3 linked regions of the Schizosaccharomyces pombe genome follow. The gene in region 3 interacts genetically with the main gene of each other region. Each region holds a gene or a part of one and is shown on either strand. Other genes may lie near its edges. The genes, in order: mst1, rum1 and mcm4.

Region 1 (3,757 bases), on a different chromosome or scaffold from region 3:
CTATCCTGCAAAATGGAGCAGCCGAAAAAACCAAGGCAATAGCAGAGGCTTTTCTAATCAAAGGAATATCGAAATTACAAAAGTAACTAAAATGAAATAAAAGGTTACAAATTAGTCTCTATTCCTTCAAACTTTAAGTATCATTAATATATATCTAGGAGATACTTTAATTATGAGAATTTTTTTTTTTTTTAAGAAAGACGACCAGCATCTAATCCATTCTTTGTACAGAATTACCATCCAAATCGTAGTTGGGAAGGGTGAAAAACAGGAGGTTGCCAATCTGCCAACAAATCTCCATTGATCCTTCTTCTTTTTTTGTTCTTCAATCTTTCGTATTGTTGCTCAATTCCATCTGAAATACAGATAATAAATTGACCTTTGTAATATTTAAGCATATTTAGTGCTTGAAGTGTATGTAGCACATCATTAGTAGTCATTGAAGTTTTGTTGGCTAATTCGTCAATAGTGGTTTCAGTTCGCATTCCAAGCACAAGGTTGATGATTTGTTCAGCCCAATACGCTCGATAACTAATCAACCCCAAATCAGAAAGTGGTTTTTCAGGTGAGCCGTGTTTGTGCTCACGCTTGGTCAATTCATAAGAAAATTGTATGAGTAACTTGCCATAACCATGTCTTTGGTATTGAGGTAAAGTTAAGATACAAGCAAGGTTGTAATTTTCGGAGGACTCTTTTTCTTTTGAGAAATATCCTACCAAGTGACATCCATATTCATCGCGGCGACACATACAGTAAAACAAAAAGGGATCAACATCATAGTAAAGCATTTTGTGATCCAGAAAAAGTTTGGACAAAAGACAAATATTCCTACACCATGTACGTTGCTTTCTTCCATCAATTTCAAAAAAGGATATATAGTCATCACGGTATATTTCATTTCCGGGTGGATGCTGCAATGTACATTTTTCGCGGTGTCTTTGAAATTGTCGCTCAGATCCGTAATAGCAGAAACAAAAACTGCAAATATAAACTATATCTACTTCCGAAAATTCTTTAGGGTACGGTGAGAAGTACCAAGGTTCAATTTCATGATCTCCTATGCAAATTTTGTTTATATTACGAATTCGAGCTATTTCGTGAGGATTTTGAACCATTGAGCCACTGAACCGTAACCTTTCTACTTCTTGTTCTTTTGAAAGACTTTCGGGCTTGTGGTCTTCCTCCAATAACGGTAAACTTTCATTCCCGGCATTTGATCCATGATCACTTTCTCCAGAAGGGGTGGATGGTTCAGGTTTCTCCGTAGAAGGCGTCGAAGGCTCAGTTTTTGAAGGTGCTGTAATCGATCGTCGTCTGTCAACAGCTTTTGGACGTTTTGAGGATTTTCCTTTTCCATGAGCCTTTTTTGGCTTCTCCGGCGGTGGATACTCAATTCCTTTCGATAAATCAATATTATCTATTGTAATCCATTCATCTAAACGTTTATTGTAGTCATTATAGTGTACATAGTAGACGACGCCTCTAGTTCTTTTTTGAATCATTAAAATCTCCGCCTTTCGATATTCTCCATCCTTAAATGCAAAGACTTTGGATTTATAAACTATGTCTTTAGCCTCATAAGACTTTGTTTCAATCTTGGACTCATCATCAACATCATTCGACATCTTGAGTCTCAATAAGTGGATACTTATTCCATGTACAAATTGTGTAGCCACCCTGAAAATTTTTTTTTCATGGTGGTGAGTTTTGCTAGTTTCGAAAACATTTCTTTACCGATTCGTTAAATGTCGGTATGTTTTTTGTGAACTTTACTGCTTTAAATTAAATTGTTTAGCAAATTTCGACGAATTTACAATCTTTGCTACCTTGAAATTCATTAAGCGAGATGATTTTTAAAGTTAGAGTTTCGCTCGTTATTATAGCATCGACGTAATTATTCTCAACCTGCGCTTACAGCAAACGATGCTAACCTTTTCGTTTCCAATAGAAAGTAAATTAATTAATAAAATTTTTGAAAGGATGAAAAGAGTAATAAATACTTTCATTTTACACATATCAAGATAGCTGTGATAAATTAAACGATCAACTTCAAAAATCCTGAAATGCTCAATTAAAATTAGTGTTCTTTGATAATATAAAAATCTAGAAAATATTTTTCTCGGGTTTGAACACGAGTATATTCGAAATTTGTCCAGAAAGTACCGAAAATGCTATAAACAGTAATACAATTCTTCAGTTTTCCGTTTCCAATTAAAAGAATAATGCCAATAAGGAATAATAGAAGTACTTTTCATAATTAAGGGAATTTACTTCACTAACGCGCTCAGCTAATTCACAAAAACCAATAAAAGTATGTTAGGCACTTTATTTACAAGGTATATACCATCATCCCAGCTGCTAAATTAATAAACATGAAACGAGCGGTTGAGATATATCGGAATGAAACCTGCTACATTAAAAAGTAACTTTCCCGATTGAAACAGTCATCAGCCACAGGTATGGGTGAACAGAAAATGTATTTATTCTGAGTTTATATATAATACCTATATATTTGTTGACTGGTGTTTCAAAAGTTCACTATATATCAAGAAACACTATCATGAATTCATTACAGTAACAGTAAAATGGTTCACAATCAACATTCAAGTGCTTTAAACGGGAATCAAAAAGATACAATTAAGACGGGTATGGGGGAGTTACAAAGACTGCCATTTAAAACACAACGGCAGTGTAACAAATATACATGAGCACATTTCGTACCTAATTTGCGAATATACAATCTTTATACATTCCAAGCATTATGACCAGTAGCACTAGCGTTGTAAATAAAGTTGTTGTTGGCGCCAGAATTTCCTTGGCTATCTGCGTATGAGGGAATTTGTTCCGAACCATAACTTCGATTTGTATTGACAGCAGAGCTTGGTTGCGACATACGGGTATTCATCGTAGAACTTTGACGCTCGACGGCTGGACGGAAGTCATTTGGATCATCATCATCATCATCACTGTCGGAAACAGCTGATGGACCATTTGCGTTGCTTAAAGGTTGTATATAGTTCACATTAGCAATATGGGTATTCAACGCTTCCCACCATCTCATTAGTTCGGTGTTGTTAGAAGCGCGAAACGCGTAATCGTTTCGCGCGCCAAAAATTTTCTTAGTAGCATCCTTGCCAGTTATTTTAAACTTGGGTTTCTTCTCAGAAGGGCGACCGATCAGACAATCAGGTATGTAAAGGGCGAATTCGGGTTCAGGATCTTGAAGTGAATCAGAAGATTTAAATTCGTAAAGATAGCCAGAATGTGTAAAGGCATAAAAACCTCTTTGTTTTTTCTTTAAAAAACTTGTTTTACGAATTAAATAACCAGCCATGATAGGTACAGTGGGTTGGTCATTCTTACCAGGATATTTTATAGCATCAACGCTGCGGGGGGGAACAGAGCCATGAATAAATTCCGGCTCACGCTTTGCGTATCCGGTCCACTCGCCAGCAAGGGTTTGTGCTTCTGATACGCGAACAACTTCTTGGAGGTGATTAATAGCTTTGACATGGGTTTGATTCATCATGCCCTCAAACTGCTTAACCGTGTCTTTAATTTTTGCGATAAGGTTTTGCTCGAAACGAAAAGAAAATTCTTGAAGCTGTGCCACTGCTACGGAGTGATTGTTCTCTTCTTGAACTTGTCGAGCCAAACAGTTTAGCACTTGTCTATCTACAATAAAAGGGTCGTTCTTAATGTTTACAGTAGGTGGACTGGATGCTCTCCATGGTAAAAGAGCCCGATCTAGTAAGGA
Region 2 (3,757 bases), on a different chromosome or scaffold from region 3:
ATTGGGCATTTATATAAACGGTATCAAACACAATTACAAAATGCGAAAAAAAGTTATCGTAATAAATTGTGCCTGTTTTCATCTTTTGTATTAGATCGTGATTTTTGTGGTGATGAATACGCAGGTAAACGCATTTGCGGTGGGGGAGCAACAAAGGAACCTGACGAGGAAGATGGAACCCTTGATTTTAACGAGAACATTTTATTCCCAATAGAATTCAGGTTTGGAGGGAGAATGCCAATTTGAGAATAGTCATTAAGGTCTACAGAGGATGTTGGGTTATCTGAACTAGAAGAAGGCGCCGAGTCAGCAAACAAGAGTTTGGGCTTAAAAGTAGATAAATCAGTTCCAGGCCTGAAGGATTTCTTGATTCTTTTCCCCCGAAAAACATAGTACAAACCATCAGAAGGAGGAGGAGTAGGCTTTCTCTTCTTTCTTGACAAAAGCTGGTTATCAGATGAACTGAGAAAAGGATTGTGTTCTCTGTCTTCTTCCATACATCTTTCTAAAGAATTACTCCGATCTTGTAGCATTAAATTTGGTAGTAATTGCTTTTTGGGAGTTTTAGCAGGTGTAGGTGGAAATGTGCTAACTTGAGGTGCTGGTAAATCGCTTTCAGGGATTTCATCTATCATAATAGAAGAATTACCTTCTAACGAAGCATCGATGACTCCTTTAAAACTCCCAGGAGACTCTGGGGTAGATGGAGTACACAACCCTCGCATAGGTGGTGTTGAAGGTTCCATAGCGAACTGACAATCCAAAAACCAGGTAAATGCAAGAAGAAATCCTTTATGTATCGAGCGGATTATCAGAAGAGCGTGTATTCAAGCTTTCCGATATGATTTAAAAAATGTATTTTTCAATGGTTTTTGGGTGTAGGAAAATTCAGCACCAGAAATGTTCACAAGTTACCTGTAGCAAACGAAAAGGTAACAATTTAATACCCACCAAGCTAGCGACTGCGCTTTGATAATTATACAATTTAAACAATATTTGTAAAATTGTTTGAAATAATATAGAAACAATTGAAATGGCTTCAATATATCAAAAGGAAGGAACAAAATGGGATTGTAGCTTGTAAGAAAGGTATTGAAATTTTCGGAGTAAACAAAAAAAAGGAATCTTTTAGAAAACGGGAATGGGAAAATGTCTATTTTAAAAAGCAAAATTTCACTTCATACCAAGAAGTAAGTGCAGCTAAAATATCAAAGAATCAACCAATCAAAAAAAGATATGTGCCAACTTTAAAATTGTAAATAGAATAATTAACAAGGAAAAATATTCTTTCTAATGTTAGAATTTAAAAACTAGTTGGTTGTTTGCTTAGACGAATTCAACTTTTTCACATAGAAATTGAATGCTCGATTTCTTATAAAGATGCTACCGTTCCTTGTAAAGAGTATAATTCAAAATTAAATTTTAAAAATAAAAAACTGATAAAAAAGCGGATTCTCTTTGACCAAATTCGTACAATTTAGTAATATATTACTGCAGCACTCAAGTAAACACACACGAATCAAGACTAAACAAGATCAATTGATTGTATATTATATATAATCCAAAACAAAAAAATTCAGTTTGCAACAACCGCTGTCAAGGAACCCAAAGCTTATGTATGTAGTAGTAGAACTGTATGTTTGACGTTCTGGTTAACTGGTTATTTGCTCATTTCGTGGTAACCATTACTATTAGATGGCTGTAACGCAGTACGCTAAATTAATTACTTTGATCAAGTACAATTTTTGCATAAATGTGTAGTTAGATTTTAAATGAGAATCGATTTTCTGTTCTCTTTAGCAAAAATCTAAAAAATTTACTAACAATTTTAAGCATCATAGAAATATTCCAGTTCGAAAATAAAAATATATGACTGCAAAACCGTAAATAAAAGTAAACTACATTTGAAGTTCTAATAAAGAAGAAACTTCGCGAGTATGGTAAATGAAATAAGTCTCTTATTGTTATTTAAAAGCAAGTACTATCAAAACTAATTCAAGGGATATTTCGTTAAGATTGTTCCTTATTAGCAAATTGATGGTATAAGCAATATTTATTACCTTAGCTCAAATGCAGGAAAAATGGATTTATGAAGAATCGACTATCTTTCAAACACCATTTTCAAATCGAAATGGGAACAGCAATATGCAAAGTAAATACACGGTTGCTACATCGCTAAGTATTTCCAAAATATATCACAATTGTTAAAAATTAAATCGTGACAATGTTTATTTATGTGTTTAAGGAATACGCTACTAACATAATTTATCAAAAAATATTATAAACATATTGGTCAATAATTAAAATATTCATAAATGAATGTTCATGTTATGACTTATTTTACGCTTCATTACCTATTGTTTACAATAAATAGTATCAATGCATTTGCCAAATGAAACAATTAAAATGATAGGTTCGTTAAATTAAAAATTAAAAATATGTTTCCTCTTCAAAAACTATTATCAAAATGTAATGCACATAACTAACTCTTTATTCAATTCATTTCTTCTTCTCTGCCTGTGTAAACACTAACCTCTGCCTCATATTTCCTATCGTTCTTATTCTAAGGGACAACTGGAGTCGCTGCAATTTTCTTTTCAAACTGTTTCATTTAATTTATTATATTTTTTGTAAAAAAAAATAAAAACAACCTTCGTCTACTCTTTGTACTGAATTTCTTTAAACAATTCGCACATCTTCAATCGAATACTTTGTTAGGCTTAAATTGCACACAAGAAATTATTTTCTATACTTGAGTTAATTATATATTTTTTAGTGATTTTTTCTTGTCTTCAGTTAATAGGATAGTCTATCTTTTTCTTTGAACATGACATCTGAATTGCAACAAGAACTACAGATTTTAAGGAGCTTTAATTACACTATAGAAAAGCTTACGGATGGTCTTTCTGCTTCTAAAGAAAAAATAAAGTCATTCGAAACCTCCATTAACAACTCGAATCGTCTAATACAATTATGGTCATCGGTTCTAAGCCAAACGGAGCATACTCAGAATCTAATACTAAATAGCGACTGGAAAGGTTTGTCTTTTGATAATGAAGAATTAGAAAGATTGCAACATCAAAAAATGCTTCAAATACAAGCCGAAGAGCAGAGAAAGATCGAATTACAACAAGAACAAGAACGACTTGAACAAGAACGAAGGCAAAAAGAGGAAGCTATAGCTCTTCAAAAACAACAGCAGCAAAGGTTATTAAGGTCTAAAGATCCAAAGGTCCGACCTGCAAGAAGAGCCGCATCTTCATATGTACCTTCTAGGCCTTCCCATGTTCCCAAGGTCTTCATCCATGAATGTGCGTTCTCGGGTTAGCATGGCTACGACTTCTAACCCAAACTCACTTAGGACTCCTTCTTCATCTTTTGCAAGTCATCGCCAATCCGCAATTCCAAAATCGGCCACCTCCTCTGCTCCTACTATACCAACATCCAACTTGCCATCCGTAGCAAGTTCGATTCCTAATAATGGTCTCAATTCTTCAAATAGAAAAAGTATAATTTCTAAAACTTCCTCTAGACTTCGTCCACCTTCACGAGTCAGTAATGTGCCCTCCGTTCCTCAGCACCCCTCAACTCGTAGCAGGACAAGCACTCGTGAAACCACTCAACCACCTTTCACCACGAATCCGTCCAATCGCTCAAAACGAACTACTTTACGATAGTTTTAGGGATTTGAAGTTTATTCTAAAATCGTTTGCATTAAAAAAGCTACACAAGTAATTGTAAACAGCTTTTTTACTCA
Region 3 (3,757 bases):
TTATGAAAAGACTTGTTCGTTCCACCAAATAGCTGTAGCAAAAGCCCCTTTTTAACATCATCCATTTCGTAAATGCTAGGTGCCAGAGACCGGGAAAGAATATCGTATATATCGTCCCGCTTTGAAACTTGTTGAATTTTTTCCACTTCTTCGTCTGATATTTTCCGTACTTCATCAATTTGTAAAGCAGCATCTTCAGCAATATCGCTTTCCAACGTAGAAGGATCCGTACCCAAACGACGTTTGTCCTGCTTTTTTATGTGAACAACGTCGACATAAGTTTTAAATAATGATTTTACAGTACGCATGCGAGGGTTCAAACGAACTGGTACACAGCGAAAAATCCCAGTGACTTCTATACGATCTCCTGCTCTAGCAGAGTCAACCAGTTCATCATATACGCACAGACTTACAGAGTGTGGGGTTTGGCCATCCGGTACCACGTCAGGTGTCTCTTGGAGTTTAATAACTTGCTTATCGGCGAATTCAGAACGATTATGAATTAGCTGCATTGCATTTGTAGCACCACAGACTTCTCTAGGGCATTTTATGGGCTCAGCAATTCGCCCTCTATCGATTTCCACGGTAACACAATGACCACAAACTGAACATCGAAAAAATGCTTGCTTCATGTCGGGTATTACAGGTGTACACCTAAGTACCAGACCTTTAATAGAGATCAATTTGTCAATGTCACCAGGATTAAGATCACGCATATTAATGCATTTTTCAAGATTAAAAGGACGAATTTTGTAAATTTTAAGCTCAATGTCATTAAGAACATCTTCGGGAGGATTAGTTCCTAACAAGTCTAGCATAACGTCTTTAATGGTTTGATCCATGATAGGAATGATTTCTTGAGGGTATGAGTAAAGCTGGTGATATAGCTTCTTGGTTGGGGGATAATGCTTTAAATCCTGAACATCAAGATTTAATATTTCCAAACCCATAATACGCATGTTTCGTAGCGCTTCAATATACACTAGTTGTTCGGCATCAGGAGGTGGCATAAGTTCATTTCTGTATTCAGGTCGATACTTTTTCTTAAACCCACGTAGAAATCCACGAAAGGAAGCGATACTTTCTTGAATAGATACATTTGTTCCCCAAATGACACGGACAGTGTCATCAGCTACTTCACTGCTTGGGTGCGCCTGACTAAACGTGAGTGCATCTGACCCAGAAAACAACAAGCTACTAGGAGTGCTTACCCCGGGACGTTGAGGGTCAACTTCTCTTCGACGAGATGGGGTAGACATTTGCACGCTAGAATGGATGTCTCCACGTCTTGTCGAGCGCGGTGTTCTCTGCGAACTACTGTCAAGGAACAAGTCATTACGCTGAGATAAAAGATGAGAACGTGAACTCTGAGGAATGTTTGGACCTGGTGAACTAGATTCAAACAGTAAAGGAGAGGAAGCGAGAGGTGTACGCGCTGTAGTCCTCGGTGTTGTAAGGCGTGTAGAACCAGGAGACGAAGCAGGAAAAAATAACGGAGAAGAATCCACTGCTTCTCTTGAAGAGCTGTTAGCTCTTCCAGGAGTCCTCAACTCATTGGCTCTGCCACTTTGCTGACTAGAGGACATGACTCGTGGTGGGTGTAGAAAGACAGTGTAAGGGAGTAGAGTAACTACTCATAAACATACAACAATGAAGAGATAAATAGCATAGCAAAGATTTAAATAATTGGAAATTTGTATAATTTTTTAACAATTTGTCATATTCTCCATTGATCATCAAGCTACCAGTAATTGACTATGAAAATGTAAACTAAAAAACTTTGCGACACTAGATATTAGGATCAATTAAAGCAAATTTGTTATCATAAATAAGGTATTATGAATTTGTTATTGACTTACTTCCTTTTAAGTGATATTCTATTTTTTTGGACGAATGAAGAGAAATATGAAAAGAATGTTGAAATAAAGGATTACATTGCTTTAATTAAACGTTATGCTAGTTTAACATTTTGAGATGATCGTTTTTGCAATTTGGAACTACCAGTTGTATTTGAAGGTCGAATCTATTAACTGTGATTTGACGCTAATTGAAGAGGGCAGATGGTGATTTAGTAATTTTACTAATAATATTTCTTAAAATAAGGTTTATTTTGAATTTTCTCTCATATTGAATACCTGAGTTGTTATTATATTAACCATTTGTAGAGTTCATTTGACCATTCGACTACTGGACTGTCTCTAATAAAAAAAACTTAAGTCTGTATATTATGAGTTATATGGTGTGAATTTCAAATAGTGTATGAATGTATTTTTCTATTATTTCTAGTGAAATACCATTGTGTAGGACGCATACTTTTTCTCGATTATGTTTTGCTCTTCAAAACCTGAAAGGATTATAGACATTTATTGTATCTTGATTTTCTTCTATGTATAATTGGTGAAAACTGGTTTATTCTGTTTTACTATTGATGCCATTAACGATGATACAAAAATTGGCTTATGTCTTTTCAAGGCCCTTTAAGAGATGAATTCCACTGCATAGTGGAACGTTCCTTTTCCTTTTAAAGTGTAGTATTAATTTGCTATTAAAACATCTTTTTAGGCGAAACCATCAAATGCGGCTTGATAAATCAGCTTCAAATATTAGAGCAGTTAACCACCTAAAAAGATTGTCTATTACATGATAAAAGATGATTATAGTGGCGACAATTAGAAAATTAAATGATTTTGAGAAATCATGTCTATAGACATGATACGTTTGTGTGGATTACTTTGCTCACTTGCACTGTGTACACTGCATACTCAACTATACCACAACAATTCACAAGGTCAATAATCGTGAGCTTTTGAGTTGACAAAAAATAAATTACAAATGGAATCAGTTTTTGGAAGAGTAAGAAACGAGACTAGCGAGAGAGGAAAGTATGGATTAGTCTCCGTAAAAGCTGGAAAACTTCAAAGAAAGCCAGGAACGAATATTCTGCAAGCTGATCACCGAAAAGGGTATGTACTATAATAATAATATAGATAGTAGTCCTTTCTACTGGGAAAACGAAATTCTACCCAAAGAATTGTTTATGAAGCTTCTTTGCATGTTTACGTTGGAAGGATGCGTGAAAATCCACACTGTTGGGTTTTGTGGAATTGTTTTCTGTTTATAAAGTTAAAAGATCTGATTTTTAATACTGACATTTGTTTAGAGTTATCTATATGCAAATGGCTTCTGATGAATTATTGCATTTCTATTGGAAAGAAAGGGCCAGGGTTTCTAGAGAAGTAGAAGATGTATGAAGACAATTTAAATCAATTGCAAAGTATACCTATTTATATATATAAATTTACTTTTGCGTTTTTTTTTTTTTAATTTGGTTTATGTTTACTAACATATAATGAAGGACTACATCATATTTCCAGAAGAAGCAGAGTTTATCAAAATTGATGAATGTACCACGGGACGCGTATATGCACTAAAATTTAAATCCTCTTCGCAGATTCATTTTTACTGGATGCAGGAGTATAGTGATGAAAAAGACAAGGAAACAGCTTCCTTAATCAATCAATTAATTGCTGACCCTGTGAATACGACTCGGACTATCAACTCACATAATAATTCTAGCAGTAGAGGTACGGATGATTCATCAACCAGCCAACTGCTGCAACTGTTTGGTGCAGCAAGCCAAGATGCTCTGCAAGACTTTAACTGGGAAGTTTTATCACCTACAGCCGAAGCACCGGCTATCCTGCCAAGATTTCCTAACGTTAACGAGTCAGCAAACATGTATCGTGCGTCAAGTGAG

What was found.
Region 1: mutations in mcm4 (region 3) and mst1 impair growth when combined (synthetic growth defect), as found in Schizosaccharomyces pombe (one study listed by BioGRID).
Region 2: of mcm4 (region 3) and rum1, changing one suppresses a phenotype caused by changing the other (phenotypic suppression), as found in Schizosaccharomyces pombe (one study listed by BioGRID).

The regions. Positions count from the first base shown.
Region 1 is NC_003424.3:4,561,151-4,564,907, forward strand, and holds the start of mst1 (histone acetyltransferase, KAT5 family Mst1), read right to left. Parts: upstream 1,680-3,757; 5' UTR 1,626-1,679; coding exon 234-1,625; 3' UTR 87-233; coding exon of another isoform or gene 1-86. Other genes in the region: ATP-dependent RNA helicase Rpm2, read left to right, coding at 1-86; slm1 (cytoskeletal signaling protein), read right to left, coding at 2,744-3,757. UniProt on the Schizosaccharomyces pombe protein: Catalytic component of the NuA4 histone acetyltransferase (HAT) complex which is involved in epigenetic transcriptional activation of selected genes principally by acetylation of nucleosomal histones H4, H3, H2B, H2A and H2A variant H2A.Z.
Region 2 is NC_003423.3:2,797,578-2,801,334, reverse strand, and holds the start of rum1 (CDK inhibitor Rum1), read right to left. Parts: upstream 1,659-3,757; 5' UTR 747-1,658; coding exon 54-746; 3' UTR 1-53. UniProt on the Schizosaccharomyces pombe protein: Regulator of cell cycle G1 phase progression. Ensures the correct sequence of S phase and mitosis in the cell by acting as an inhibitor of the cdc2 mitotic kinase. Probably interacts with cdc2 to inhibit its action until the cell mass for Start is reached.
Region 3 is NC_003421.2:898,231-901,987, reverse strand, and holds the start of mcm4 (MCM complex subunit Mcm4/Cdc21), read right to left. Parts: upstream 1,601-3,757; 5' UTR 1,587-1,600; coding exon 1-1,586. Other genes in the region: 19S proteasome regulatory subunit rpn1302, read left to right, coding at 2,833-2,963, 3,161-3,245, 3,356-3,757. UniProt on the Schizosaccharomyces pombe protein: Acts as a component of the mcm2-7 complex (mcm complex) which is the putative replicative helicase essential for 'once per cell cycle' DNA replication initiation and elongation in eukaryotic cells.